Linked DNA regions of Tamandua tetradactyla. Each later gene encodes a partner of the first gene's protein in a complex. Links are inferred from orthologs where the notes say so. Each region holds a gene or a part of one and is shown in the gene's direction. Other genes may lie near its edges. The genes, in order: ING5, BRPF3, JADE3 and KAT6A.

Region 1 (7,841 bases):
CATAAAATGGAGCCACAGCTGAGCTGCAGCCATTGTAGCTGATAAGTAACAGGAGCAAGAAGAAACCTTTGTGATTGCATGTCACTGAGATTTTGGAATCCTCTGTTACTGCAGCACAAACAAGTGAACGCTGACTGATACGACTACTGCTTGGTATTGTCTTACTAGGTAAAAAAAATAAAAGGGATATCCCTTTGTCTGATTTTTGCCTCTTTTTCTAAAATGCCCATCTGACTGACCTGAAAAGGATAAGTACAAGGAAGATAACTCTCAGGTTAGGCAGGGGCCCAGACAGCCCTGTCCAGACCACCCAGGACAACCACCCACCTAACGGTCCTTAGTCAACCCCCACCACCACCACCACACACACCCCATGTAAGGTGATATCCCTAGGTTCTAGGGATTGGGGTGTGGCATCTTCAGGGGCATCACTGAAGGAGCAGGCCCAGTAACGGCTTTCCTCCTTCTCTGCTCCACTTGCCCCAGACCTCATCTTCACTCCCACTCCCAGGGATCACTTTCCAAAATGAGCCCCCTGCCTGCAGGCATGGTCCAGGTTCTGCTTTCTGGGTGAATCTGGAGAAACAGTTGGCATCAGGAAAGCAGCCTCTCAAGGTTGGGATCTGGGACAGGCCCCCTCCCCAGTGACACGACAACACAGACCCCTTTGCTGGTGGTGACGGGCAGTGCTAACCCAGGCACCCTGGCAGCCTCATGGTTCCATGGCCTCTCGCTGGGGGTGGTTTGGGATGCGGCATGGAGGGTGAAGCAGTTAAACACCTGAGTTGTGTGGAGAATACAACGATTATGGGGATGTGGAGGTGGCCGGCTTCGGCTAACCACTTTTCATGTCTTACACAAAGAAAAAGGCAGGACCAGCACAGCAAGTTCTCAAGTTTGAGTCCTGCGAAAGGCGACACTCATAGCCCTTTACCTCTACAGCTCCAGGCTGCTGAGCATCAGGTCTGAGATTTAATTGCCAAAGCAAAGCAAAAGCACAAAGGAGGCTGAGTGTCCCCCACAAAGGGACTCCTACACCCACGTCAGGACGAGGACATAAGAACTGGGTGCCAGGCAGTACTGCAGCCACCCGGCAATCCGGAAAAGCCAACGGAACTGCAACAACCTCAACACTTGACAGCACCAACTGGCAGAAGTGGTTCTACTCTCACTCTAAGTTTCTTATTATGTGAGACCATTTTATGTGACGATTGGAGCCACAGCTGGTTTTCTGGTACTTGCAGCTAAAGGCATGCTAACTGATCAAAGAGGGGTGACCAGCTGGGCGAAGGTACAGTTGGAGGCAAATCACTTACTTGTGCTAGTTTGAGCAAATTCTTGCAACCAAAGGATATTCCCTGCACCCCAGCTACTCAAGACCCAAGACCCTGGTGGCCCAGCTCCTTCCTCTTTTCAGCACTCCGCACCACCACCATGGGCATTGCACCATATCCCAATTTGCTTGGGAGCTCATCCTGAAGTTGGCATTTCGAGTGGGATGCTTCTGTGGGGTGGGGTGTCCTGTGCCCTGAGAGAAGTTTAGCAGCTTCCTTGGCCCCTACCCACTGCGTAGAGCTGGGATCATCAAAACATCTCCAGACATTTCCAGCCTCCCTTTAAGGACCACCACTTTGGGGTAACCTAAGCCTCTGTAATGTAGAAATCCCACTTAGTAAAGGCAGGGTTTTAATTCTCTCTTCTGTGGCATTCCTGGTCGGTGTGCAACCTGCTCCATGGGGTCACCCAAGGAATCAGAATCCTTCTTTGGTCGTTTCCACCCAGGGGCCTCACCGTAGTTGGCGTGGCCAGGTGGGGAGTAGTGAAGTGGGGGAGTGCATCAAGGAAGACACAAACCTGCTGTCTGAGGGCGACTGTGCAGAGGATACCCACTTCTGTCCCATGCCACTGGTGGCCACTCTACTTGCACAGGGGCTGGGAAGTGGGGTCCTCAGGGCAGCAGGTGAGATTCAATGGATAGCTAGCAAAGTCTGACACAATTCCTGTGAGATGGAAATGTCAGCAAAGGACCAACGACTGGATGTTACTGCTCCTTTAACTTTCTTTTTTAATGGAAAACTTCAAACAAACGTAGAGAGAAGAACCTAGTGAACCCTGTGTGGCCATCAGCCAGCTTCGGCAATTATACACTCATGGCCAGTTGACTTTCACCTGCCTCCAGCCACACCCCAGTTTACCAGGAAGCCCTCCCTAGCACCCCTATCATTTCGTGGGGTTGCCCTTGTGCCCACTTTGCCTTCTCTAGGCCCACCTCTTGCTCCAGCCATGGTCTGAGCAACCAGTTGTGAGCAATTTAGCCATCCTGACTAAAAGGGGGAAAAGAAGCGTAACAAATAAGGTATCAGTGGCTGAGAGAGTTCAAATAAAGAGTCGAGGCTACTCTGGAGGTTGCTCTTACACAAGCTTCAGATAGACATTGCTACCCATCATAACTTGCCAACCCCCAAGTTACCTCAGCAGCAGCCCTTACCTCAGCAGCACTGGTGTGTCGTTTTCTGCCCTGTGGCTTCTTCTGAGCTGAGGTAGCAGCCCCTGCAGGCCCCTGCTGGTGTCCAAATGCACGTGACCTGGTTGTGTGGGCAGCCAGCACCTCGTGTTTAAGGCAGACCACATTGCGGTACGAACACGCACCTCCCTGGGGGGGTCCTGCTGCCTTCTGCCCCCATGCCCACAGCAGGACCAGCCCTTGTGTTAGCACCCAAAGTCCCAGCTGAACCCTGCCTTTCAACCCTGCCAATGCACCAGGATCCCAAAGGAAGCTGGTGGTCTCTGTCAGGTCACAGAACAAAAGAATCACCCAGCTGGCCCTGCTGGAATTCCTGAGAGACGGTTGTTTTAAAGCACTGAATTCTTAGGTACTTTGTTACGCAACAATACACACCTAGAACAGAAGGATACATACAGGAACATATGCATGAGGATGTTCACCAGGGCATTATTTATCATAATGAAGAACTGGAAAGAGTCAAATCATTACCATATTAGTGAGGAGTTTGTTAAACACAGTTTGATACATCAACACAGTAAAATTTATCCAGTAATCAGGATGAGACAGAATTAAGGTTTGGGGGCCAGAAGTTCATGGTCAGAGTATTAAGTTATAAAAGCGAGTAGTAGAAATATGGGTAGTGTGCGATCACATTAAAAATCCATGTGCATGCGTGTGTTTCTTTGTGCAAGCATTAAATGGGGCCTGGACGGGTGCTCCCCAAACTGCAATCATTTAGATTCTAAGATGAGCAAGACAGTCACAGTCCTGCACCCTCAGGAGGTAGGAAATAATGAATGAAAATTGGCAATAGAACGTGTATGTATCTGTTGCAGTATTTGCCTGCAGTTTGCGGAACAGTTCACAAAGGGGGGCCTACCTTTAGGAATAGGTTTTAAATGACAAAATCATGACATCTGCATCTGTCAGGTTATGATAATTTGGGTGACCCACAGCCTCAGCAACTCATGTGGACTGTGGGAAGGGACCTGGGGCTCAGGCTAGTTCTGGCTATAAGTCATCTGTCCCCTCAGGGCTGGGAACATCCTGGGCAATCTCTACCTTGGGCTAACTTCTGAGCGAGGAGAAATTATCTGAATAGGGGCTGGCCCTGGAAGTGGCCACATCACCCAAGGGTAGTCCTCTGCCTAAAAATCAGCTAGGGAGGCCAGGCTGGGGCGGCAGGGAGTGGAGGAACCTGGGTCCAGGGGCGCACCAGCAGCTAGGACATCAGAGTCTGGACACAGAAGGGAAGCATCATCCCGAATTGCACCTTCTAAACCCATTTTTTACTCTCCTCCAGCACTCTTACATCCACTTCAGGATACACCTTTTCACGCTCTTTCATTCCTTTAACACTGAATCATATCGTTACAAAGGCTGCATTCAGTCATACTCTCAACACTTTCCACGTGACAGGTACTGCTCAAGGGACCCCAAAGTGGACTGGACAGTGGGTCTATTAGATGCCAAGGCTGATGCTGTGGGGGCAGCTACTGCCAGTGGAGGGGTGAGGAGGGGTGGGTCACATCCTCTGCAAGTTTAAGGGAAGAAGCAGAGGCCCAAGTAGTTCGATCGGAGCGGCAAGACCAGAGATGGGAGGTACAGGCAGTTCTCCCTGGCTCGTAGGTGGCCGTCCGCCCTCGGCTCCTCCTCCAGTTCTGGGTCGGCAGGAAAGACTGCGGTGCGACAAGACGGTGGGGTGGGGTTGGGAATGACAGACAGGATTCACCGACACCTCGGGGGCCGAGAGCCTGCACGTGTTAGCCCAGATGACCAGAGTAGGGGTCGGCCGCGAACAGGTGCAGGCTGGAGGTGCACACCGGGTGCCTCGAGCTTAGAACCGCGAGAATGGCCACCGTTCCCTTCCCAGCCCCTGAGGCCTCCGCACGCCAACTGTGCCTCTACGCCCATACGCCCTCCGGCGCTGCGGCCCACCCGGCGGAGGCCCAGACCCGGGGCGGCGCACACCCGCAGGGCGCCGAGCGGAAGCTGGGGGGCGGGCCCTACTTACGCCCCGCCCCGGCGGCCCGCGCCCCAATCAGTGCCCGCGGTCTATGAATAGTGAATGAGATGCGGGCCGGCCCCGCCCCTCGCCTCGCAACCCGCGCCGACCGCGCGCAGAGCCCCAGCGCGGCCGCGGAGGAAGATGGCGACCGCCATGTACTTGGAGCACTACCTGGACAGTAAGCACCCGCCCCGCCTCCCGGGCCCGGCCGCTGCATGACCGCTGCCGCCTGGCTTCCTCGCGCGTAGCTTCTGCGCGCCGCGGCCGGAGATTAGTGAGGGCGGCCGGGGGCTGGCGGGGCGACGCTCGACGAGCGCGCGCGCGCGCGGGCGGGAGGCGGGGCGGGGCGGGCGCGGCCCTGAACGCGGCGCGGGCTCCGGGCGATTTCGAGGTGCGTCACGGAGGGGCGGGGCCGAGGGCGGGGCAGGGCCACCCACGCCTCCGCCCCGGCCGCGCGCCCCCTCCCAGCCGGACGCGCTGGTCTTAGCTGGTACCAGAGCGGGCTCCCAGCGCCGAGCCTCAGTTGCTACCTCTCGGGAGGGGGTGGTCTGCTGAGCTGGGGGCCGTTCGGTGGCCGGGTCCCCCCGCTGGCCTGGGCTGACGCCCTCAGCCTCTCCCCGGTGCCCGTGTCCGGAGCGGCTCCCTTTGCCTTACATGTGACCACAGGCTTGCTCCACGGGGAAACTTGAGTCGATGGCGACTCTCCCAGGTTGCATACGAGGAAACCGAGGCCTGGAGAGGTGCAGGGACCCGCCCGAGCCCAGCTGGCGGACCCGGTGTGTGAATCCGGAGCTCCGGAGTGGGCGGGTCTGCGGTGCCCTTCCCGGACCTTCTCACTGGATCACCTCTCTGGGTCACCTCCCCGGGCCAGCTCCCCAAGTCACCTCCCTGGGCGCAGGATGCTGGTGGCGCACCGGATCCTAGGCAGTGAGGGCATGGTGGCCCCATTCTGGCCCGAGCAGAGGTGCATGGGTTGGTGGGAAAGCCAAGTCAAGGAGGTGGTGGAGTAGAGGTGTTTCCCCAACGTCGTGGGTACCCAGGAAGGAGGAGGAGGGGCACTGGGGCTGGTGTGCCAGGACTGCAGACATGACTTCCACTTCCATGGAATTCACCAGCTAATGGGGAAGGTGGATTTGTAGAAGGGTCACAGAAGCCTAAGGGCGACAAGGAGCGCGGTAGGTGAAGAGCACAGGGTCATTACTGTCCTGCAAGGTGGCAGAGGCAAAGCCCTGGTAGGATGGAGGGTGCAGCCCAGCAGATCCTGGGCCTGAGCGGGGTGGACTGGGGATTCACTTGGTTGGCTTTGGAGAGTGGATGGGAGGGGCTCGCTGGGGTTCTGACCAGGAGTGTGGTGTGGGGCCCAGGGCAGCATTGTGGTATGGGGCCCTTCAGTATAGCAGTTGAAGGCTGCAGGCTCCAATATAACTTTGGTTAAAACTGAGTAACACTGAAGTCCAGTTCCCATGGGCCATCTTTAACCCACCCATACCCTTCAGAGGGTCCCGCCATTATCCCCACTTTGCAGGTGAGGAAGTTGAGGCACAGAAAGATTATGTAACTTGCCTGCATCCCACAGCCTCAGAGCATCAGAGCACCTGTCTTTCAGGGAGAGTGACCCCAACCTGCCTACTTGCCCAGAGCTCTGCTTACTAGCCATCACAGACTGAAAGTACCATGTTAATTCACCAGAGTTGGAAATGGACACTGTCCTGGGGAGGCAGGGATTTCTTTTTCTCATTACCACCTTCCCCCCCATGTGCCTGGGACTTATTAAGAATTTGTGTTGAAATGAGTTCAAATGTTGGGGGAATGAACTGTGGAATCTCGGGTACTTGAGGGGCCTTCCAAGAGGGATCTGGCTCTGGCCAGTGAGGTAGAAGATGAAGATGGCCTGGAGGATGAGCCTCTGTGCCCTGTTCACATCCAGCTAACGCCACCCCCTCTTTTTTGCACTTGCTTTGCCCTTCGTCTGAACTTCTCTCCAGTTTGTGCTGAACACTAGTATTTTTATTGTTTTTCAGATCCTCATGAACTGCAGATAGTTTGCTGCTAGTAATTGCCTTGTTTTCTGGCATTATTTGTTCCTTCAAGCTATATTGATTAGGAACCAAAGTGATTCAACTCTTTCCAAGAAAAGATTTCAGAGAGGAGTCTTTCTTATGAGCCAGAGGAGCGTTCTCAAGCCGTTCCATTCTGCTCCAGCGGAACCCAGTGCGCCTCTGCCTTACAGGGGGTGCCTCTGTCCTCAGAGGCAGGGCACGTGCTACAGCTGGCACTAGCTGTGGGGTTGGTGGGCTGGGTTGGGATCCACTGAGAGCCCTGTGACCTCCCCAATCCTCCCTTTTGTTTTGTTTGTGGGAAGAGGACAATGCTGATTGCTTCCTGCCATGTGCAGGACTTGTGCTGCTGTCTAGACAGTGAGCATGTGGCCAGGGGGCGATGGGGTCTCAGTCGGCATGTCTGCCCACCCTGGGCCTCCTTCCCTGTCCTACTTGCAGCTGTTTCACAGCATACCTCCACCTCCTCCCTTCCTGAAGTGGGCAGCCTGTTGACAGCGTTGTTTGGTACCCAACCCTGAATAAAGAGATTTTAGCCCTCTCCCCTCCCAAGCCCCAACAGAAACAGAAAATGAGTTTTTTATTTGTTGAATTTGATATAAAACCTTGAAGGCAAAGCTTTGTCCTATTCTCATAAATTCCACAGAGCCTGATGCCTTTGTGTTTCAGGTATCGAGAACCTTCCCTGTGAACTTCAGAGGAACTTCCAGCTGATGCGAGAGCTGGACCAGAGGACAGAAGGTGGGCACGTTTGGAAGCCAGCTCTGGTTCTAGGAGGGGCATCTGGGGGAGATGGCCAGGTCTGCCGCAGAGCCCCAAGCTGGGGCTGTATTCCAGTATCCTACAGAGTTCTCATTCAATTGTCATCAAATTTAGCTTCTTGGATCCTTACTATAACTCTTACTATAAATGCTCTTTTCCATTCAAAATACTTTTGTTACTTTTAGCTTTCCTCTTAAAAGAATTTCTGTTTTTTAACTACATGTGCATGGTGTGCAAAGCTAGATAGGATTTCCCTATTTCTGAACAACGTATATTTGCTGTTATTTCTTTATTTTTTTCCCTTTTGGTTTTAAACTTCATCTGTTCATTTATACTATGGAAGACCAATACCTCCTGTTCCTATGTCCACCCCTTTCAGCCCCCAGGCACTCCTATCAGCCTCCTCTTGCATTTCTCCCAGTCTCAAGGTGTAGTTGTATGAGGACCCTGTCGAATATGGGGGCCTGCTCCCCCAGGCAAGCCCGAGGTACTTCACAGCTGAACCACA
Region 2 (7,602 bases), on another chromosome or scaffold:
TGTTGATTTTGTAACCTGCCACTTTGCTGTACCATTTATTAGCTCTAGTAGTTTTGCTGTGGATTTTTCAGGGTTTTCGACATATAGCATCATATTATCTGCAAACAGTGAGTTTCACTTCTTCCAATTCTGATGCCTTGTATTTCTTTTTCTTGTCTAATTGCTCTGGCTAGAACTTCCAATGCAATGTTGAATAACAATGGTGATAGTGCACATCCTTGTCTTGTTCCTGATCTTAGGGGGAAAGTTTTCAGTTTTTCCCCATTGAGGATGATGTTAGCTGTAGGTTTTTTATATATGCCCTTTATCATGTTGAGGAAGTTCCCTTCTATTCCTATCCTTTGAAGTGTTTTCAACAAGAAAGGATGTTGAATTTTGTTAAATGCCTTTTCTGCATCAATCGAGATGATAATGTGGTTTTTCTGCTTTGATTTGTTAATATGATGTATTACATTAATTGATTTTCTTATGTTGAACCATCTTTGCATACCTGGGATGAATCCTACTTGGTCATGGTATATAATTCTTTTAATGTGCTGCTAGATTTGATTATCAAGAATTTTGTTGAGAATTTTTGCACCTATATTCATTAGAGAGATTGGGCTGTAGTTTTCTTTTCCTGTAGTATCTTTGTCTGGCTTTGGTATGAGGGTGATGTTGGCTTCATAGAATGAGTTAGGTAGCTTTCCCTTCTCTTCAATTTTTTTTAAGAGTTTGAGCAGGATTGTACTAATTCTATCTTGAACATTTGGTAGAATTCACATGGGAAGCCATCTGGTCCTGGACTTTTCTTTTGGGGGAGCTTCTTAATGACTGATTCAATTTCTTTACTTGTGATCGGTTTGTTGAGGTTGTCTATTTCGAGTCAATGTTGGTTGTTCATGCCTTTCTAAGAAGTTGTTCATTTCATCTACATTGCCAAGTTTATTAGCATAAAGTTGTTTATAGTATCCTCTCATTATTTCCTTTATTTCTGCAGGGTCAGTGGTTATGTCTCCTCTTCCATTTCTGATTTTATTTATTTGCATCCTCTTTCTTCATTTTGTCAACCTCGCTAAGGGTCCATCAATCTTATTGATTTTCTCATAGAACCAACTTCTGGTTTTGTTGATTTTCTCAATTGTTTTCATGTTCTGAATTTCATTTATTTCTGCTCTAATCTTCATTATTTCTTTCCTTTTGCTTGTTTTGGGGTTAGTTTGCTGTTCTTTTTCTAGTTCTTCCAAGTGGACAGTTAATTCTGTGATTTTTGCTCTTTCTTCTTTTTTGATATAGGCTTTTAGGGCAATAAATTTCCCTCTTAGCACTGCCTTTGCTGCATCCCACAGATTTTGATATCTTGTGTTTTAATCTAGCTTACTTTTTGATTACAGTCTACTCAAGACAAAGCCCACGATTTCCTTACCTTTATATATGATCACTAGACCTTTTCTACGTTGATTTTGTCATTATTTTCCAGAGTCTTGATGAGCGTTGGATACATAGTAGGTGCTTAATAAATGTCTATTATAGGAATAAATGAATGGAATTTAATTTAGAGAATGTGGTGCTCTATTTAAAATCTGTTGTTAGCCTAACTAAACTTTTTTCTTTTTCTAAGCAAACTTCGTATTCTTAAACCATTTTCATTACACCATATCACAATGATTCCAATTTCCACATTCTTCCCAACCTGTGGTTCTAGAATTCTTTTACCCAAGGTCTAAATGAGGAATAGTCTATTAAAAATAATTTAACAATCAGTCAAAGTCTATTTTTATTTAAATCAGTGGATATTGAACATAACCCTGAAGAATGTTCTTGCCTCGGTAAACAAAATTTTTAAGAATAATAGTAAAATGTTGACAAAGATGTCCGAGATGCTAAAAAACATGGGGGTGTGGGTGTACCTTTTGTACTCACGTTCACTCTTTTAGTCTTAAATGATAAAACATTCTCCTGATGTTAATTTCTATTTCAAAAGAGACAGCACTTTAAAGACTAGCATTTAGAATCAAAGACCCCGCCCCTATTCATTGAACTTAATTGCTGTATGGCCTAATTGAAGGCCAGGGTTGATGTATTTAAAGTCTTTAAAAGCTAATGATGAAAGTGAATTAAATTTAGTGCCTCTGGGATTTCTGATACACATTTCAAATTTGTTTTCAATGATATAATTGTTACATGTTACATTTAAGATTACATCATAGCAAATTGGTTGTGTGTGCAGTTACACTAATAATAACCAATTGCAAATGTCAAAAACGAAAGTGAAGACAACTAATGTTACCATTAAAAAAATGGAAGTTGAATAGCAAATAGAAACACTTAGGCTGAATATCGTCTTAATAAGAAAGCTTCTGAATAGAAAAACCTAAAATCATATGCATTAGATTGTCTTAATGCATTTCAACAGCATTAAAATCATTACTCTCATGTTTCAAGTGGAAACCAATGCATATTCTCAAGGTACTCATTTATTCATTTTAGTGAGAAAAGATAGCTTTCAATCACATAAATGGGAGTTGTGCTAAATCAATTTTGAATATCCATCAAGAAATAAAAGTTAGTCATATGAATAAGTGGATACTGTTTCCATATTTTAAAAGAACAAGAAATTCAGTATTTTTGTTTTTGTTAGTTATCAGATTATTTTTTCTTAACTAAAAGTAATTGCGATACTTTTCTTGCCTCCGGGGCTTTCCCTTCCACAGTTGAACATTTCTTCTTTCATACCTTCCCACCAAATGATTATTCCCCCTGGCCTTAAAACAGTTGAATTTAATTCATACTACTTCATCTTCACAACTCTCAAAACACTGCCCTAGCTCCCCTTTGGCTCCGCAGGTTCTCCCGCTGCACTGGAGCAAGAGCGAGCTTAGCTCCACAAGCCCCTCCCCTTTCTTTCTTTCTTTTTTAAAACTGGTTAATAGAAATATTTTTATATTATCATTTTGCTAAAACGTACTATGAAGCTAACCTGAAAATTCTTTGTAACATAAATTGGCTTCCTTATTTTTATCTAACGTTTAAGTGCAAAACCCTGTATATTTAATTCCTTAGGATAAAGGACATCTATACTTCAAAAGTGGCGCTATGTTCAGTTAAAATATTTGGAAAACAGTGCTTGGATCTTAAGACTTCACCCTTCATCCTCCTGACAATAACAAATGTCCTTGGTTATCAGAACCAAGCAAGAAATTGTCTCAAGCTACACCACCAGAGCCGACAGAGGAAACGCTTTCAAAATATGTCATTCATCTTCACATTTAAAGGCAGCCTATCCCTACATCCTTTATAAACATCATTAAATATTGGTGCTTAAGACTTCAGTCATACAAGGTAAGCGTTCCAATTTATAGGTAAAAAGGGGTAAGCAAAAGGGCCTTTTTCTCTTCAATTTATTTTTATCAGAACAAAAGCCAGTTTGATTACAGCTGAAAGTCTGTAGTTGCCATTTGTCAAGCATGCTTTAGAAAGCCGCCTAGTGCATTTAATTAACCGACTCTCAGCCAAATCAGGTTTAAGAGTCGCGTTTCCCATACCTAGAATGATAAATGAGTTACCAGACGTCCTTAAGTAGACCGTCAAACTTTTAGGTTTACTCAGTTTAAACGCAGAAGGGAGAGGACGGCATACAAGGAAAAGTCTAGTCTGTTCCTTAAGATGGCTTGGGAGGAATGAGACGCTCACCTGTACACAACAGAGGCGGGTCTTCCCCGGCTGTCCTCACTGGGGGAGGGGATGGACATCGCTAGACCTTTGTCCTCGGGACCTGGGCTTGGGGAGTGTGTGTGTGTGTGTGTGTGTGTGTGTGTGTGTGTGTGTGTGGTGAACGACGACCTTCTGGGAGCAGTGCAGGCACCTGCACCCCAAGAAACTAAGACCGGTTTCTCCTTCAATAATCCCAGCGGCTTAACCTTTCGGGGGGGTATACTCCCGCTCGGGGAGGGGGTTTTCTGTCCAAAACCTTAATCATTACCCCCGCAAAGACGGGGGAGGAGACGACTGAACCCCATTTTAATAGGCAGAAACTCTTGTCTTTCCCAACTAGACTGGAACGTCCCCAGTTCTCTCGCCGGGCTCGCCCCGCGGGGCCACGGCCGGGGTGACTCCCGGCAGCTGCCGGCGTATACCCGGTCTCCGCTCGGTGCCCCCGCCGCGTCCGCACCGCCACCGTGAGGCCGAGCGGGGGACGGTGCCCCGTGGCGGTGGCGGCGGCGGCGGCGGCGGCTCCACGCTTCTCTCCGCGCCGCCCCGGCCGCCGCCGCGCCGGGCATGGGCGGGGGGATTTTTTTCCCCGTTTCCCCCCTCTTTCGCGCTCTCGCTCCAGTGCAGCGGGAGAGCCGGCGGAGCCAGGGAGGGAGCGAGGGAAGGGGTGGAGGTGGCGGGGGGAGGCCGGAGGGGCGGATCCTGCCTGGGGGCTGATCCCTCCCTCCCCTCCACCGGGCTCCGGGCTCCGTGGCGGCAGCGGCGGTGGTGGTGGCAGCTCCATTCCCCCTCCTCCCCCGGGAGCAGCGGCCGGGCCGGGGCCCCAGTGCGGGCCGGGCGGGGACACGGCGGGGGCTGGCGCGGGAGGAGGCCGCGCACCGCTCTCCGCTCTCCGGGCCGCGCCGACCAGCTCAGCGGCCGACCCGCCCGCACCCTGGGGCCCCGAGCAGTGGAGCTGGGCCGGCGACTGAGGTAATAGGGGCGGCAGCGAGGCCGGACTGCGCGGGGGCGGGGGCAACGGGGCCTTCGGAACCAGGGACTGTGCGGCGTGGCGGGGATCGGGAGACCGGATAAGCGGGGAGCTTCCCGATCGTGGCAGAAGCGGCGCAGAGGCCCTCTCCGGAGCGGGGGCGGCGACGGGGAAGGGAAAGGCGGGTGAGGGGAGAGCTGAGAAGCGGAGACCCCCTCCTGCAGCCGCCATCTTGTTTCCCCACCGGCCCTGGAAGCCGAGCCACCGAGCCCCGCCCCCCTCATGCTCTCCAATTGGCCAAGCTAGAGTAGAGTTCCACCCGCAGCACGTCCCTTGGCCCCCTCCCCGGGTTTCCCTGACGGGCAGGTGCGGTGGCCAATGGGCGCCCGCTTCTCTTCCCGGCTGGTTCGCTGGCGCTCTCTTTCTGTATCTGCGGGTCGGACTTCGCGTCAGTCTGTCTCTGGCGCGTTCGCCTCCTCCCTTTTGGGGTGGAGATGTTATTTCCCTCCTTTCTCCTCCTGGGGGTCAAGATTCTTCTGGAAGAGATGTCCCCTTAAAGGGGCAGGATCTTGGCCCGGGTCTTCTCTTGTCCCACGAGTATCTTGTGTGGGGTGTCGGGTTACAGTCTAGTTGCAGAAATTCCTCTATCCTCGGAGACTTTTCCCCGGTGGGGTTGGCGAGTGGGGCAGGGGGTGCGTGCCGGGGGTGGTTGGAGATTTTTTCGGGGGTGTATTTGTGAGAAGGGCTGCGTTGGATGAGAAACTCCCGCCAAAAAAATCCGTCTAGACTGTAAGCTTCCTGAGGGCGAGACCTCATTTCATTTTCCTCAGCAGCAGCCTTTTCCCTTCCAGGGTTTACTCCCCACTGTCTAGTGGCTCGGATATTGGAATGGAAAGGTCTCCAGAGATACCAGGTTGAGAGATACCTGAACTGCCAAGGGTGTAGTCAGTGAGGAGGAGGAAGACAGAGTGGTTTTGATGAAGGGAGGGCCTACACCCTCTCTCCAAACTGTTTACTTTGAGGACTGAAGTAGATTTTCATACCTCTGTTAGGGTCTCCAAGCCTTTGGTGGTGAGGGTGGGTTGCCACCAGGCTGTCCCCAAGGACTTGGCATTTGTAAAGGCTTCTGGTAGCCAAGGGCTCTGGAACCAGGACAGAATTGCTGTGGTGATTGTTTCCTTTGGCTCATCCTGCAGCATGCCTTCTTGGCACTATTCCTTGGCAAAGTTACTTAGTTTGTCTCAGGCACACTTTGTAACTGGAAGACTTCTTAAATAAGGATGTTAATAATGCTTTACTAGCAAATATCAATCCTTAAAAGTTAAGTTCTATAACTCTTATGCTACTACTGGAGTTTGGAGACATAAAGAAAGTGACTTTCTCCAGGTCACATAGGGCCCAAGATTAGAATTTAGATTGCCCAGGACCTCTCTTGATTCCAGACTATGACATTTCTGGAGCATTTTTACCTCCCAGTGAGATGAGTGGAGCAGATCAGATGATCTGGGTTTATATTATAGCTTTATCACTTAATAGCTTTCTATTGAGTGAAGCCTTTCTGAACTTCTGTTTCTTCTTCTGTGAAATGGAGACGATAATATCTCTTTTCCTTCCCAAGCTGGTTGTGAGAAATAATAAATATGAAAAGGCTTTGTAGTGTGTAAAAGTGTGCTAAATTACTACTGTCTGTACTTTCTAGATAAAGATGATAGATCTTGCAACCAAAATGTGAACTGTTTTTCTCCTTGAAATTCTCTCTCTGTTTATACTCATCCAAGTGTCTACTCATACCTTGGGGCAGCGTAATCCCAAATGTTCTATTAGTAATAGCATCAGTAACTGCCTAATACAGTTTCCTAGAGCTTGTCATAGTTCTATCCAGAAAATGATACGGGAAACTTTAAGGCTTTCTCTTTGTTGCTCAAGGGTAGCCATGATATAAGTATTTTAGAAGAGAAGGACTTTTGAGGGTACAAGATGCCCTGAAAGTTTACCTCTGACACTTGTGATTTCCTTGGCCTTGGCACCAGTGAGGGTCCCAGACAGACCATTTATGACTTCAGGAATCTCTTGGGGCCCCTCACAGAGCTTCGAGGATTTCTGTTTAGAAAAGTACTGGCCAGTATGACCTGAGTGCTGGCTTTTGCAGGAAAAACCCTGCACACAGTAATTTTGAAGCCCTTAGACCATATATGATAAATATTTCAGAGATGAACTTCATCCCTGGGCATGGTTTTGGGATATAGGGTTTCTGATCATGGTAAGATGGGTTGCTGGACGGTCTAGACCTGTGAGTTCCCCTATTCATGTACAGAGCTTGAAAGTGGTAGCTGTTGCTTTCTCCTTTTTTTGAAGCCTTAAACAGCCCTCCTTTTCCAGAGTTAGTTGTCCCACAGCCTTATGTACATCATTACATTAGGTTACATTAGAACATTAGATTTCTACCCATGTCACATGTAATGATCTGTTTACTTCTCTGTCCTTAACTCAGCACCTTAAGGGCAGGGATCACGTGTTTGATTTTTCCTTTCATTCAACAAATACTTGGTGCTCACTTCTAAGTCAGGTACCATTCCAGACACTTGGGATATAAAACACGATGAAAGATAGGTAGCTGGCAATGGGGAGAATGAGGGGGGGGGTTTGCAATTTTAAATCGAGATGTCAAGGAAAGTCTCTGAGAAGCGATGTTTGTGAAAAGACTTGAAGGATGTGAAGGAGCAAGTCTTGTAGATACCTGACGGGCAGGTTGTCCAGACAGAGGGAACAGCCAGACCTCTTGGTGGCCAATCAACCAGATGGAAGGGTGAATGGGTGCTGTATGTATGAACATGCAGCTCACCATCTCCTGGCCTTCTCTCCTTAGGCCTCTTTTCTTGGTTCCCAGGTGCCATGAGGAAGCCGCGCAGGAAGTCGCGGCAGAATGCCGAGGGCCGACGCTC
Region 3 (7,551 bases), on another chromosome or scaffold:
ATTGGATTGGTGATTTAAAATGTCTTGAAAAAGATATCTCCAGGCCCAGATGGCTCCACTGGAGAACTCTACCAAAACATTTAAAGAATTGACACCAATTTGACATGATCTCTTCCAGAATATCAAAAAAGAGGGATCACTTCTGTGTCAGGGCCCCTAAAACCACCCCCAGGTTTAATGATTAACTAGGAGGACTCACAGGACTCAACACATGGCTATGGTTTATTACAGTGAAAGGATACAGAGCACTATTAGCAAAGGGAAAAGACACATGGGGTGAAGTCCAGAAGAAACCATTGACAATATTTCAAGAGTTGTCTCTCAGTGGAATCATGCAGGATGTACTTAATTCCTTCAGCAACAAGTTTTGACAACACATGTGAAATGTTGTCTACTATGGAAGCTTATTAGAGACACAGTGCCCCAGGTTCTTACTGGGGGTTGGTTATACAGGCACCCTCTGCCTAGCATTTACCAAAATTTCAGACTCCCAGAAGGAAAGCAGCCATTCAGCATAAACCATACTATTTGCACAAATAATTTAGGCACAGCGAGCCACTCTTATCCGTTCAGGGAATGGTGCAAACCCTCCTGAAATCCAAGTGCCCAGATACCAGCCAAGGGCCTGCTATGTGAACTCTTTTCTGTGCAACTTCCCAACTCATGTTATGAGGCCAGAATTATCTTAATACCAAAATCAGACCAAAATAGTACAGAAAACAAAAACAAAAACAGCCACAGACTTTTATTTCTCATGAACTTCGACATAAAAATCTGCAACAAAATATTAGCGATGTAGAAGTCAGCAAGGTATAAAAGGAATTACACAATGGCCAAGTGGGGTTTATTCTGGGTATGCAAGGTTGGTTCAAAAATCAATGTTCAATAAATGCTACCTACCATAGCCACAAGCTAAACAAGAAAAATTATATATGATTATATTGATAAATGCAGAAAAAGCTTTTGACAAATTTCAGCACTCATTCATGATAAAAACTCTCAGCATTCTAGGAATATTGGGTGCTTTCTCAACTTGATAAAGAGCATCTACAAAAATCCTACAGCTAATATCATATTTAATGGTGAAAGACTGAACGCTTTCCCCCTAAGATCAGGAGCAGGGCAAGGATGTCCACTCTCATCACTCTTATCCAACATAGTACAGAAAGTTATAGCCAGCATAATAAGGCAACAAAAGGAAACATAAGGCATACAGATTGAAAAGAAAGACATAAAACTGTCCCTATTTTCACAGACTACGATTGTCTAAGTAGAAAACGCCTACAACCAATAACTGAGTTCACCAAGATCATAGGATAAAAGAGTAATACAAAAAATTGAAAGCAATTCTATATACTAATAATGAACAAGGAACGTGAAGTTGAAATTAAAAACACAATATCATTTAAATTGTGCTAAAGAAAATGAAATACTTACATGTACACTTAACAAAACATGTACAGGTTCTGTATGTTGAAAATTCCAAAATGCTGATGAAAGAATTCAAAGATCTAAATAAATGGAGAGATATATCACATTCATGGATTCAAAGACTCAATATAGTAAAGAAGTCAGTTGCCCCCAAATTGATCTATAGGTTTAACACAGTTCCTAACAAAATCACAGAAAGATGTTTTGTAGGTATAGACAAGCTTTATCCAAAACTTATATGGATAGGCAAATGACCTTGAATGGCTAAAACAATTCTGAAAAGGAATAAAGTGGTGGGAATCATTCTACCTATATTAAGGCTTACTTTATAGCTATGCTATTCAAGACTCTGCTATTCACAGAGAGACAGACACATAGATCTGTGAAACAGAATAGAGAATGCAGAAATAGGCAAACACAAATATGCCCAGCTGATGTTTATAAAGGTACAAAAGAAATTCAATGGAGGAAAGATAGTAATTTTAACAAATGATATTGGAGTCATCAGACACCCACAGCTAAAAATGTGAACCTTGACCTTATGTTCACATTTTATTCAAAAATTAAATTTTAAAAATGAATCATGTAAAATGTAAAACTACACATAAGATAAAATCTTCCAGACTTGGGCTAGGCAAAGATTTCTTAGACTTGCTACCAAAAGTACAACGCATAAATGTAAAAATTGATAAATTGGACTTCATCAAAGTTAAAAACTTTTGGTCTGCAAAATACTTGTTGAAAGGATGAAAGGACCAGCTACACAGTGGGAAAAAATATTCACAAATCACTTATCTGACAGAAGATTTGTATTGAGGATATATAAAGAATTCTCAAAATGTAACAGTAAAAACCAAATAATCCAATTAGAAAATGGGCAAAAGGCACGAACAGACATTTTCTCAAAGAGGATATACAGATGCAAATAAACATAAATAAAGATGTTCAATATCATTAGCCATTAGGGAAATGCAATTTAAGACCACAATGAGATATCACTACACATCTATTAAATGGTTAAAATAAAAATATAGTGATAATATCAAATACTGACAAAGATGTAAAATAACTGGATCTCTAATGCATTGCTGGTAGAAATGTAAAATGGTACATCCAGTCTGGAAAATAATTTAGCAGCTTCTTATGCTAGTTTAACACTAAACATATAGCTACCATATTACCTAGCCATTACATCCTTGGGTATCACTAAATACATAGCTACCATATGACCTAGCTATTATATCCTTGGGTATATGCCCTGGAGAAATGGAAACTTAAGCTCACACAAAAACCTCTATATGAATGTTTATAGCAGCTTTATTCTTAATAGCCAAAAGTTGGAAACAACCTAAATGTCCTTCAAAGGATGAATGGTTAAACAAATTATGGTATATTCATAGTATGGAATATTACTCAGCAATAAAAATGAATGAACTACTGATATATGCAATAATTTGGGTGATCTCAAGTGACTATTGCTGAGGGACAACAACTAATCTTAAAAGTTTATATAGTGTATGATTCCATTTATGTAATGTTGTTCCATAGAGATGGAGAATATGTTATGGATTGCCAGGGGTTAGAAGGAGGGAAGAGGGTGACTGTGATTACGAAGGGACTGCAGGAGGAAACTTTGTGGTGGAGGGACAGTTGATTGTGGTGGTTATACGAATCTATATATGTGAGAACACATACATAGAACTATATACACAAATACAGAAATAAGTGCATGTAAAACTGGTGAAATCTGAATAAGTTCTTTGGATTGTACCAATGTCAATATCCTGGTTTTGATATTGTACTATAGTTATGTAAGATGTCACCATTGGGGGAAATTGGATAAAATGTTCAAAGGACCTCTGTGTAGTATTTTTTGCAACTTCCTGTAAATATGTAATTATTTCAAAATAAGTACAATAGAATGAGGTTAAGTCTGAAGTATTTTACAACTTACACTTTTGTATATCATGAAACACTTTTGTCTTTAATATGGAAAACAAACAAAATATCAAAGAGCCTATATTATTGTTTATCCTAGAAATGCAAATGGGAAAATGGCTATATGAGTTCATTGCAACTGCACATGGTATACTTCCAAACCCAGATAGGTAAATTTAAAAGATTGGTTGTTGAAACATCTGTATGTCTGCATTTAACCAGAGAAGCAAAAATACATAGGTTTTATATACAATGCATTAATGTTTTTATGTATAAATGTATGCATTTATTACAAACTATTGGCTCAAAGTATAGTGGGGGCTGATTAAGCAAATCCAAAATCTGTAGAGTAGTCCATCGGTCAGATAGGAGAGATCGTGAGCAGGCTAGAACCCACGGGCACAGGCCAAAGCTGTTCAGCATACGGCGGAATTTCTCTCCAATATTCTCTGAAATGTCAGCCTTGCTTTTAAGGCCTTCCAACTGATTCAGTCAGGCTCACCCAGATCATTCCGGATAATCTAACTTTAATTCGTCTGATTAAGTGCTTTAATTATATCTGCCAAATACCTTTACAATAACACCTAGATCAGTGTTGGAATGAATAATTTGAGGTTACAGTCTTGCCAAGCAGACACACAAAAAGCCACACAACACCATAAATCATTAGTGCCTGCAATGGGATAAATGAAGTCTGTTAACAGCCATTATGATTTTGTTATTATAGCTAATTAAAGTACAAATAACCTAAATCAATGGCGGCTGATCACGACTTTGAGCTATGAGAGTTCCACTTACAGAACTTTAGAGTTAGAAGGGGCCACAAAGAGTTTAGCTTGTATTTCAACACAGCCAAGTCACCTCCACCTCGTCCCCTCTGGCTTTTAGTCTGGCTGGAGCTCCTCCCCGAAGCAGCACGCCCAGCAGGAGGGGTGAAGAACCCACCTGAAGGACAAGTGTCGCGAGTGCAGGAGCGTTGGGTGGGCGGAGCTTTGAGACCCTCTGCGCAGGCGACGGCGCCCGCCCGCCAGAAGAGCGCGCGGCCAGGAGACGGTAGGGAGCCTGTTGGGGAGGGCAAGCGCGGCCGGTGGGGGGTGGGAGGAGGAAGGAAGGGGAAGAGGCGGAGCGTGGGAGCGCACAGTGTCAGGAATACAATAGTGCTGCGCGCCGCCTCGGCCGCCGCCACCGTCGCCCAACCGCAAGCTGCCCAGCGCTGAGGCCTGACGGGCCGGGTTGACGAGGGCCGAGGGCGGGAGTTGAGTTGCGGGGGGCTGGCCCTAGCGGATCAGGCGGCCGGGGCTGAGGGGCGGGGGTAGGGAGGGATTGGGGGCAGGTGCGAGGGAGGAGAGAGAAGAAAGCAAGCGGGTAGGGGGGCGGTTACCATCCCTACCAGACTCGCCCGGCACATTGCCGGGCCCTACCGTGGAGACGGGAAGGAGCCGCGACCCCGCTGAGCGAAGGTAGGCGCCACCGAGGCCAGCTGCGGGGCTAGCAGGGTTGCGGGGCGTCGCGCCGACAGAGGGAGCGGTGGCCTCAGGGAGTCGCAGCGGGCGGCGCGGGCGCAACGTCCCAGCCCTGCCTCGCTACGTTTCGGGCCGCTTCGGCCCCACACCGCAGTCCCCTCCCGCGTGCCCGGCGCCCTCGCCCGAGAGCGTGAGTGGGCAGAGTTGGATTCCCGGAGGTCTTTCCCGGGCTAGGCAGTGCCTGGTGGCCCGCGCGGGGGACGCGGAGGGCGGACGCTCGAGGTCGGCAGCCTGTCTTGGCTCCAACCGGGCAGGAATTGAGCGCCATAACTATTGCGGCTGTTTTCTCAGGTGCTTCTTCCCGGTGCTTCCCCGCCCCGGTCCTCTGCTGGGTTTTGAGGTTTGCGGGGTCAAATCCGCGGCTGCACGGATCTGCTCCGCGGGCCGCCTGGGGCGGGATGCTCTGAGGAGAGAGGGCGTGCCCTGGCTGGTTAGATACTGAGGTGAATGTGGGGGGCGGGAAGAACCGAATGCCTAGAGAGGGGAAGACCAGTGGTGCCGGGGAGCAGCGAGGCCGCTGGTGGGCCCCAGTGCCCACCGAGCGCGAGGGCGGGCACCCCGCGGGCTCGCGAACTTTCCCTCCCCCTCAGGTCATTGTTCGGACGCTGCCAGTCGGCTGCCGCCGAGTGCTGGGCGGTCGTGGGAATGGGAAAATCCTGAGGGCTTTCCAACTCTTACCAGAAATTTCTCCCTTGTCTGGGCACGGCAAAGTTAACTTTTTTCTTAAGCCATCAACTTGGTTTTAGTCCCTACGCCTTGGGGGCAATCTGTGTATGTGTGTGTAGAGATAGATTGATTTGGCTCTCTCCAGTCTTTTTCTCCTGCTTTTCAAAAACGCTGCTTCGGGAAGTCTGACTTTAAATTGCACAGGATAACCTGCGTTTATTATTTGTGAGGAGGAAAAAGGGGCGGGATCTCGAATGAGTGACCACTGGTGGTTCTGTGAAGGCCTGTTTAAAAGTTGATATCGTCGGGTAGCCCTGGGGCATGTAGCTCCTAGGCAAGAAACTTGTTTAGTGGGAGCTACTCTGACATTTTAAGTTGAAAGGAAATCCATGGTCTCAGGTATGCGTGAGATTTTGTTATTATTTTTATTGTGAGATCCGTTTATGAAGCTGAAGCTGAGGCTGAGATCCGCCCCCGCCCTCATTGTAAAACCGTGTTGATGATGATTCCAGTGGCCAGGAGGGAAAAGTGATCTCATTCCCTGTACTCAGTCTGATACAGATAGCTGTCTGCTTCTCTGTAAACTCTTGAAATTAATGAAAAATAATTTAGGTAAAAAATGATTGCACAACATCTTGGCTTAGTTTAAGCAGCCTGAGAATCCACTTTCTCAGAGTAGTTAGGTCTTAAATATCTTCCCTGCAGCCACTTCTTGTCAGCCGGGAAAGGGGAGAGTTGTTAAGAGAGGAGTCCGCCTGAGTAAAGTATTGGAGTTTTTATTTAGTTTAATACTTTAATAAGATCTGTAAACAATGGAAATGTGAATCCCAGCTTTTGCACCCCTTGAATATTGTAGTTCTCATGCTTTTGTAGCATCATGTGATTACTCTGCGTAAGTGAGAATAGGTGCGTTTTTAAAGTTTTTTTTAGCCCAGGACTATTCAACCTTCGTGACATATTTTCTTTCTCATTTAAAATGGGGTCTAAGCTTAAATACTTAAACTGTAAAAGATTAATACATCTCTTCAAGGGGTGAGAGGATTACATGAGATCTTAGGGAAGCACTTCTTAAAGCCCAGCACGTATTAAGTTCTCAATCAAATGTTAGCTACCATCATTGCCACATTCTCTACAACTGTGATCTTCATAGTTTTGTTTGCTAAATAGAAGAGCCTTTAATGCAATATTGTCACCTTGAAATAGTTCCTTCATGCTCTGTCCAATGAATTCTGGAATACTCAGGGGTGCAGCTCTGGTTCTAGAATTCATGCTTTCTTTCTCCCCATTTTTGTGAGTCATGTTGCAGTGTCTTGGCAATGTGAAATAAATGCCTTCTTGATCACAGGTAGGGGAAAGTGGAGAAACGGCTTCCCAGCTCCTCCCTGAAGTGTTGGTGATGAGCTGAGAGCCAGCAGTGACTTGGAAGCAACCTTGGGGAAGCCTCTGATGACCTTCTATAGAGGAGATTAACCCTGTGGACTGTAGAGGACGTTATCAGGAACAGGACAGGTGATGGTGCAGGGCTTTCATCATAGTCGAGAAGTGTGGGTTGGCAAGAGTTAAAATACAAAGCAAAGGATGTTGAAATGGGAGGCTTGTAGACTGAGCATGATCCACTGCTTATCTTTTCCCTCCCTTGTGTTGTACCAACTATAAAGACCCATTTCTTTCCTAAGCTACACAAAGCTATCTCTTCTTTTTGTCCATTACTATGAGGTCTGGTTGGAACTGGGCATGCATTTTTTGAGGAGAGATGGAGGTGGCAAAAGGGGTCGGATGTTCTTGAAACCATGGCATTACAAAAGACCCTTAAAAGTCTTATTCCAGGGTGCAGAGATAAGGGCCAAAAAGGAGATTGAACATTATCATAGGGCATAATCCATGTACCTCCTCATGGAGCTAACATGACATGGTAGCTGAGGAAGATAAAGGTCATATACTGAATTACACATTAAGAAACTCTCTTATTAGGGGATAATTTACTATAACCTTT
Region 4 (8,688 bases), about 63 Mb from region 1:
AGACACTACCAGTACATTGCCATGTGACAGAAAAGCCAAGGAACCCAAAGACTGCCCGCTAGTTAGAAGATACTGGCTCTGGGAGGAATCAAGCCTATTAACCTCTGAAACTGAGAACCAATAAACTCCTGCTGTTAAACCAACTTATTGTAAGGTATTTGTCTTAGCAGCCAGGAAGCTGAAACAATGGGCATAAGGTGTGAGTCTCAATAGTTTTTGACAGAACCCAGTAAAAGGTCCTAAAAGGCAAAGATATTAATAGAGGTTTTGACAGTTAAGCAGGGTTAGAGAGAAAGCAAACTTAAAGAGCAGAGGGGCCAGATTTCCAGTTAGAAAGGCTGGGTAAATAACTGAGCCCAATACTCTGCCAGTTTCCCTCAAGTCACTTGCCAAACTTTGATGATCCATCAGAAGAAGATTAAAAAGCCAAGCAGAAAACCTCTGAAAGGCAGAATGGAGTCATCTGAAAGGAAGAATGGAGTTTCAGGTGGTCTCATGGTGCTGAAGGAATAAGTTTTAGAGTTTAGTTTCCACTGGGGTGAAGCCTCTGGAGCACACAAGGTTGGAACCCATGCTGTAGGATTAGAGGCAAAACAGAGATAAATAAGCCTTGCTGAAATCCAATCTCAAAGTAGCTCAGTTTTCTGCTTGAGTAAGGTAATCAACTATCATTCTGACTGCCTTGCAAAGGAAAAGGTGAACACTCTCTAGATAAAGATAATATTATCTAGATTCTCTACAGTTTTTCATACTTAATATGTGGCATTCTATTAAAAATTGCCGCAGGCAGGTCACGAGACAGGGAAATAATGATCAAAAATCAAGGTAAAGTATAATAAAAGAAAAAAATAATAAAAAAATAAAAAAACAAATCAAGGGAGAGTATACATAATAGAAATAGACTTACAGGAGATCCAGATATTATAATTACCAGAAAAGGCTTTTAAATTACTAGGACTGGAGGTGTGATGGTAGTTCAGTGGTAGAATTCTTGCCTGCCATGTGGGAGACCTGGGATCAATTCCTAGCCCATGTACTTCCCAAACAAACAAGCAAGCAAAACAAACAAAATTCAAGAAACGTTGCTGCAATGAGGGGATACTCCATTGGAAAAAGAATGAAATGTGACCCCTGCCATACAGCATACAAAAGAAAAATAAAACAAAACAAAAAGCTAGGACTGATATGCTCAAGAAAATAGAGGGAAAGATGGAGAAAATAAATAAAAAGATGTAGCATTTCACCAATGAACTGGATATATCTTTAAATCCTATGAAAACTGTAGAATTTAAATACACAATGACCAAAATTAAGAATGGGTTTAAGAGCAGATTAGACAGATGAATAGAAAACCTACAGACTTACACACCAAGAGAGAAAAAAGGAGCAAAAAAAATGATGGGAAATACACATGGTGAACAATGAAAAATTCTGACATATATAATTTAAATCCTAGAAGAAAAAGAGAGACAAAAGATAAGCCACAAATTTAAGGGATCCCATGAGTAATAGCCATTTGTTCATGAAGCTAAGTGTACTGAACACAAAGAAAACCCAATCTAGACACAGCCTAGTAAAACTGTCAAAAATCAAAGAAAAAAAATCTTAAAAGCAGCCACAGGAAACAAAAACCATTATCTTTAAAGTTGTAACAAAGGATTGCTGAAACTAGAAGACAGTGGAAAGACAACTTTAAGGTGCTAAAAAAAACTTGTCAAACTACAATGCTATCCCCAGCAAAAATATGAAGGAGAAAATGAAGTTTTTAAACAAACTTCCCTACCACAGCCTTCCTTTCAAAACATCACCTTCTGACTCTGCCTTAACTTTTTTTACTTACTTATTTTTCCAAACTTCTGGAGTATTGACCATTTATCCTATTAATTTGGCACTTGGTATATGACATATTCCCAGATAAATTAAAGGCTCTTTTACCATGCCTCCCCATATGAGGAGAATTTTGTCAAGAGTAGACCTGCTCTCAAAAGAGAAGTATTCAAACAAAAACAAAATGATTCTAGATAGACGTATCGGACAAAGGTCATGGATTCTTCTGCCTGACGCTCTCAATAACCAATTCCTGAGACACCAGGGTTTCAAAGAGAGAAAGAGATTATTACTACACGTGTAGTAATACAGCAGATGGCCTAATGGCCCAAAATCTGTCTCCCCAAACTGCAGCAATTCAGGTAGTTTTATTAGAAGAAAGGTGGGCGGGGTTTAGAAGAATGAGTACTGTGTCCCAGATGATGTAATTACAGGTGATTTGATTACTGAGTCTGTACAGATTGATTATATGCCTAGTCACCGAGTGTATGAAAGAAAATGGCAGAATGGGGTATAGGTGACTTGTAGGTCAAAATCTAAACCACTGCGCAAGTTGGGTGGGCCCACTTAAGTTAAATCTAGTCTTGGTCATCAAGATAATTTGGGACTTGGGGTGAGTTAGTTCCGGGTGGACCCAAGACCCTCCAATAACAATCATAAGGGGCTAGCTTTAGTGATTACAAGGCTCTAAAGTTGAAAACCTGGATACTTAGGTACAAATGAAGGTTAGTCACAAAGTTTTTACAATCACAGGGGCAGAAGATAAAGGCTATACAATCATTATCAGAGATCAAGGCAGCAGCTGGATTACAATTCAGAGATTTCAGAAATTTCCCTGACTTTTCCAATATTCCAGAAAGCAAAAAGGAATATTTATATAACGATTCACCAACCAAAACCATCCCTTAAATCCTGATTTCTCGGTTACAGAAGCACACAGTGGAATGAAGAGTAACATAAATGGCAAATATGTAGGTAAAATAAATATTCACATGGATCGACAATACAGAATAATAATAATTACAATATCTTGTACAGCTTAAAATATATTCACAATTAAAATGCATAACAGCAATAAACACATAAGGAGGGGGTAAATGGAGGCAAAGTATTCTAAGGTATTCTTTGGTAAGTCATAAAAGTAATATTATATTAGAGTGTAAGGAGTCAAAAAAAGGCTTTTTGTAATCTCTAAAACCACTAAAAGAATATGTAATTCAAAAGCTAATGAGGGGGTTAGTGATATAATCGAAATACTTCAATGAATTTGAAAGAAGACAAGAAAGAGTAAGAGATAAAAGAGGTGGGCCAACTTGAAAAAATAATAGGATGGAACACATAAATCTAAATACAGCAATAAGTATATTAAATATAAATGGACAAAAACTTTTCCTATTAAAACCTGGTCAGACTAACCTTCCAATTTTGGGATGAGCTGGACTATAGATAAAACAATTATCAACTGCATCTGGAAAGGCAGGAATTTCTAGAGCAAAACGTGGAAGAAAGGAATAACATTTAGCTGCCCCCCAGGGCTGAATTCTGAATAAAGGTTGAACTAAGGAAAACTGCCTTCTTGGAGCTGAAAATTGTTTTCTAACTTGCAAAGGAAGAGGACTTTCATTTGTTGGTGTTCTAAACCTTTTATTTTGAGGAGACCCCCAGAATGTGCCATTTAGTTATGCAAATGTAAAGCAAAGACTCTCTAAGAAAGCTGTTTGAAAAGCTAAACTGTGCTTTGTTATTGCAAATCGTTTTAAATTCTTACTGTACTGTGTTTAAATCCCAGTCTGGTCTTTTCACTGGGGATGGATATGGCTGGTTTTCTGCCAAATTACCCCAGAGCAAGCACAACTGTATTTTCTTCTGAACACAACACACTCCAGTAACACATTTTTCTATTAGTATGATTTTCTCTGAGACCTCAAATAATAGCTTGCCTTACTCTCATAAATGAAAATTTGCTGTTTTCTGGATGCGTTTTTAACACGGGGTCCCCATTTTACCTGTATGGAAGATATCCTTTCTAATAGATTATCTTGATTCCCAAATTTCTCCCCTAGTTTGGGGATGGAGCTTGGAAGTAGGTCATGAAGGGTGATTCAGTGTCAGAATATTGAGTGAGCCAAACCATTATTTGAAAATTTAAGTTTTTTGTTACTAATGAATCGTCTCGACAGTCTATGGTACAGAACAACAAGGCTTGAGTGGAGAAGGGCAACAGATAGCAAAGCATGGGTTGGTATATGAACAAGACAGGACTTGAGGGGGATGGTGATGTCATCTCCTAGTGGTTTAAAAAAGGTTCATTCATTTTTGAGTTTCTATTATTTGTACAACAGGCTAGGCAATGAAGATGCAAAGAGGCATGGTATAAGAGCCTTTAATTGATCTGGGAATATGTCATACATCAAGTGCCAAATTAATAGGATAAATGGTCAATACTCCAGAAGTTTGGAAAAATAAGTAAGTACCAAAGTTAAGGCAGAGTCAGAAGGTGGTGTTTAAAAGGGAAGGCTGTGATAGGTGTTAAGGAGGACAGCCTAGGCAGGGGCACAAAACAGATAACAGTTCAGTAGCAGGACTATATTTCCACATAAAAACAGTAAGCATTTACTATATCTTTTCATTTGTCATTCACTGTCTTTCTAGCGAATGTAGAAAAAATGTATGACAATCTCCGCCTCAAGGAGTTTAAATCTAGGTGAGAGTCAAGACAAAGAAACACATGCAGCTATGAGAGGACAGAGAGACCACAAAAAAGTGCCAATTTATGTTAGACAGAAGTAATTCTGCACAGGGCATGAACAGAACGCTGGTTTTGGAATAAGACAGAACTAGGCACCAAACTCAGATGTGTCTCTCTACTGGGTGTGTGACCTTGTGCAAGCCACATGACCTGAGTCTGTGCTTATTCCTATAAAAGTGGCTCGAGTAAAGGCTAACGACTCTTTCGGCTGTTGTGGGGGAGGATGAAGTGAAGTCCTGTAGTGAAAACGCTTGACATAGGTGCCTAAGTTCAGCCTCGCCTACCCCGCTCCCCCCCCCACCCCCTCCCCCCGCCCCATTGCGCCTATTCTCTTTCTTACCAGCAGCGATGATGATGTCCAGGGTGAGCAGAAACAAAAAGATGAAGGAAGCAGCTTCCTCATTTCTCCCGCCCCCCACCCCTACCCCCCAACTTCAGGTTCTGGGAGAGTCACTGTGGAAGTGGGGTAGGAGCACCGATTGGGGAGGGAAGATCTGTTAACTGTAAATCAGACGCCACCAAGAGTTCTTATCCTGTCCGGCTACCGGATTTCCGTGCCATTCTGAAGCCACCCCACCCATACGCCTGCCCTCAGTTTCCTCAGCTGTGTAATGGGGATGAACAATCTCCTTCTTTTCCCTGGTATCCGCCTGACCTAAACGCGTGAGAAAGACGAGAAGGAGCCCCCAATTGTTGGCCTCTAGCCCCATCAAGTCCTCCTCCCACTTTGGCTTTGGCCTTTTGTATGAGCCCCACGTGACCCACCCGGCCGGCTCTTCCCTTTTGCCCCACCCGCCCTCCGGTCTTTCCCGGCTCACGGTCTAGCTCTTCCCGCTCCCCGACCGTCCCCCTCCCGCGCTTCCCTTTAGCCACCCCCCGACCCCGCACCTCCCTCTCAGGCTGTTCCCTCTCCCTCCCCCAGGCAGCCGTTCCCTCGCGACGCTTCCCCTCCCCCCGCGGCTGTTCCGCCACCTCGCCTCCCCTCCCCCCGGCCGGAGCTCACTGTCTCCAAGATGGCGGTCGTGTCAGTTTGGGGCATCTCCGCGGTCTGGCTCGGGGCCTCGGGATCCCGGCTCTCCTCCTCCTCGGTAAGTAGCCGAGGAGCCACTCCTGACCACCCCCGGCCGCCAATCCTGAGGCTGAGCCGCTCCGGGACTCGCTTCGCTTCCTCGCGGGGTCGGAGGGCCGCTGCAGGCCCAGCCGCGGCCTGCGCCGCCTCCCGCTGCTCTGCGCCAGGCCTCGGGCAGGGGCGCCGCGGCCGCCCCCTCGCGCCGAGCCGGCGCCGGGCTCCCCCCCGCTCTGTGGCTCGCGCGCCGCCGGCCGGCCCCTCACTCATGGGCCCAGCACCCCCGCCTCCCGCCGACCGGGCCCAGCCCGGGGGAGCTGGCGGGTGAGCGGGCAGCGAGCGGCCCAGGCCGCGGAGCCTCGGGCTGGGCTGTGACGGGGAGCTCGGTTTCCCTCGGGGACGCGCCCACCGCCCTGGCCCCACCTGCTCCCGGCCGCTCGCCCCCGGCCCTGTCCGGCCTCTTCTCCCCGCGCTCCCTGGCGCTTGGTTTTAGGTCTCCTGTCCGGTGCGCGGAGATCTGAGCGGGCTGAGGCGGCAAGTGGGGGTGACAGGCTGGCGGGTGTTGTGGTGCGGAGGAGGCAGCACGTGTGGTGTTGTGTCTGTCGGGCTGTCAGCCCCGCTCCGGGAGAGGAAGCGGCACGCTGACAGTCTACCCTCGGCCGGTTTAGACCGGAGCTGCCCGACCTGTCAGACACCCCGGGAAGCCTGTGTGCCCCTCACGCCTCTTTTGAACCGCGCTCCGTGGAGCTTAGTATTTGGAGCAGCTGGGAATGGGAGATATGTTGCTCTTAACTCCTTCACGTGATTTCATTGTTAACTTCTTCGGTTTCTGTTTCCATCTAATGGAATGGCGAAGCAACCCGTTGGCAAGCTGCAGGGTTGTGCCGTTTCAAGTTTTTAAAGTTTCTAGCTTTTTAAAAAGAGAGCACGAAGATGTGTTTGGGAATATGGTATGGGGACCGGGGAAGACTTCCGGAAGCAAGTTGTGATTTCTCTAGCTGCTGGTGTACTTTCAGAGAGTTAATGTTCAAGTCTGCAGGCGCTTTACTTTCTGAAGACCTGAACACTGACGAAGATCCCTGCCCGAGAGACAATGAGTAACTGTCATTCATTCTTTTTACCTTAATCAATTAGGACATTCCTGGCTTCTTAAGCTCAGGCTGTAGCTTCTTACCTAGTTTAGCGTTACTGTCTACATAATGAACTTTCTTGGAGTACTACGATGATTTCTATCCTCTTGAGCCCCTCACCAATATTAGGCTTATTTCTCTCAGGGGTTTTCTTTTTAGTCAGCTGATTTTAAAATAAGTCTTGGCTCAGGTTTGAATGTTTGCGTCAATCTCATCTTACCCATCAGAGTTAATAGTACTATATCTTTCCTAATGCTTATTCGTTTTTTCTTTTGATTTTAATATCACTCCTAAGAATGGTTGTTGTGGGGGCCGTTTTTCTAGCTTTGTTTATGTTGTGATATAAATACTCCTGGAGAAGAACAGAAATTCTAAAAAAAATTAAAAGTTAAATTTATTTTTTGAAAGTATAGGAGTTATTTAGATTCAGAATTCATTATTTTGGTTTATTTATAAAATTTGTATCTGTGTATTTGTATACGAAAGAAGATTCACTTTGATCCTGAAGAGACAATCCTTGCTTATATATTTGTGTTTCATTCATTAATGTTCATTTCAGCACTACAGTCAGCAATCTTGAATTCAAATCTTTGAGATCCATCTCCTCTTTAGACTTGCCAACAGCTAATACATTTTTTCTGCACTGTACATTTGATGTGTAGTGTGTGTACTTGACCTCAGTGACCCTCAGCCTTTCTCATTTCTAGTTTCTCTATCTGTAGATTGGTTAGAAACAATTTGACTGTCACTCCTTCCATTTTATGGGTGTTAGTATTTTAGTTTGGGTTAGAAAAAACATTAAACATCTGTTCTTAAAATTTAGATGAAATTGTATTAATTTGCATTCTTTAAGCATTTTTCCACACTTGGCTATTTTTAGTGTTAATTTGTTTCCATTTGGAATATTTAAGGTAATATTGTACTTAAAATATGAGCTTGGTCTATGTAAATTGTATTTGTTGTTTCTTTTCATGTATGAAATAGTTATATTTTTCAATGTGCTTTTCTACCTTACTGACTGTTTTTATCCAGTCTGAAAATCTGGAGTTTTGAAAGATGAAAGATTCTCTGTTATTTCCTTGCAGGTTTCTTTCTACTAATCCATTTGCTATTCAAGTGCTGAATAGTTTCTTCTTGGGGAAAGATGTCAAGGAGGAGTTGAAATTCGTAGACTGGTGAGCAGCGATTGCCTAGAGACTAGCCAGCACCTTTTTGGTTAGTCAGAGCCTAAGGTCCTTCAAAGAACATCTCATCTTGTTTCTTCATTGTATTCTAATTATTCATTTTCTTTCCTTTCCTTTTTACTCCAATAGCTTACATACATGATTGTTTTAGAATGTTGATAGAAACATTTTAAAACTCCTACAGGTGCTCAGTAAGCATTTGCTGTTTTACTGTTTTAGAAGAGTAGGATATTTCAGTGATAGCTTGTATACAATAGGTCTTGATAGAAAACTGACCTTATTTTAATTGTTTTTCAGGTATAAGATGCACATTTTTCTAATGTGAAGCTGGAACTGAGGTGTTCCTGAGTTCTTACAACTTTATGGAGAGAACCTGGTATGGTGCTGTTATGAAATTTACTGGAAGTGTGAAGACATATCAAATAACAGGTTGTTTTGGTTTCTGAAATAAAGCTAGGGAAGCATTCTGTTTTGCGAAAGGAGAAAGGAGTCAGGCCAGAAAACTTGTATGCTATGGTTAACTGGTTCCCAGCCTCCGAGAATCTTTTTTTCCATGGTGTGAAATTTACGCAGCATCAGGATAAGGGATAACGACTCTATGGATATACAGAATCCTTCACCATGGTAAAACTCGCTAACCCGCTGTACACGGAGTGGATTTTGGAGGCCATCAAAAAAGTGAAGAAGCAGAAACAGCGTCCTTCAGAGGAAAGGATATGCAATGCAGTGTCT

What was found.
Region 2: ING5 (region 1) and BRPF3 share a complex: the UniProt entries of both Homo sapiens proteins name them as parts of the MOZ/MORF complex. The link is inferred for Tamandua tetradactyla from reciprocal best matches to the Homo sapiens genes ING5 and BRPF3.
Region 3: ING5 (region 1) and JADE3 share a complex: the UniProt entries of both Homo sapiens proteins name them as parts of the HBO1 complex. The link is inferred for Tamandua tetradactyla from reciprocal best matches to the Homo sapiens genes ING5 and JADE3.
Region 4: ING5 (region 1) and KAT6A share a complex: the UniProt entries of both Homo sapiens proteins name them as parts of the MOZ/MORF complex. The link is inferred for Tamandua tetradactyla from reciprocal best matches to the Homo sapiens genes ING5 and KAT6A.

Annotation. Positions count from the first base shown.
Region 1 is NC_135329.1:80,714,716-80,722,556, reverse strand, and holds the start of ING5 (inhibitor of growth protein 5), read left to right. Parts: upstream 1-4,607; 5' UTR 4,608-4,655; coding exon 4,656-4,692; coding exon of another isoform or gene 4,693-4,731; exon of another isoform or gene 4,732-4,783; intron 4,784-7,240; coding exon 7,241-7,312; intron 7,313-7,841. UniProt on the Homo sapiens protein: Component of the HBO1 complex, which specifically mediates acetylation of histone H3 at 'Lys-14' (H3K14ac) and, to a lower extent, acetylation of histone H4. Component of the MOZ/MORF complex which has a histone H3 acetyltransferase activity.
Region 2 is NC_135331.1:92,936,781-92,944,382, forward strand, and holds the start of BRPF3 (bromodomain and PHD finger-containing protein 3), read left to right. Parts: upstream 1-4,246; 5' UTR 4,247-4,662; intron 4,663-7,547; 5' UTR 7,548-7,552; coding exon 7,553-7,602. UniProt on the Homo sapiens protein: Scaffold subunit of various histone acetyltransferase (HAT) complexes, such as the MOZ/MORF and HBO1 complexes, which have a histone H3 acetyltransferase activity.
Region 3 is NC_135353.1:123,516,876-123,524,426, reverse strand, and holds the start of JADE3 (protein Jade-3), read left to right. Parts: upstream 1-4,379; 5' UTR 4,380-4,422; intron 4,423-4,527; exon of another isoform or gene 4,528-4,829; intron 4,830-7,551. UniProt on the Homo sapiens protein: Scaffold subunit of some HBO1 complexes, which have a histone H4 acetyltransferase activity.
Region 4 is NC_135329.1:17,627,149-17,635,836, reverse strand, and holds the start of KAT6A (histone acetyltransferase KAT6A), read left to right. Parts: upstream 1-5,563; 5' UTR 5,564-5,664; exon of another isoform or gene 5,665-5,807; intron 5,808-7,857; exon of another isoform or gene 7,858-7,947; intron 7,948-8,253; 5' UTR 8,254-8,577; coding exon 8,578-8,688. UniProt on the Homo sapiens protein: Histone acetyltransferase that acetylates lysine residues in histone H3 and histone H4 (in vitro). Component of the MOZ/MORF complex which has a histone H3 acetyltransferase activity. May act as a transcriptional coactivator for RUNX1 and RUNX2.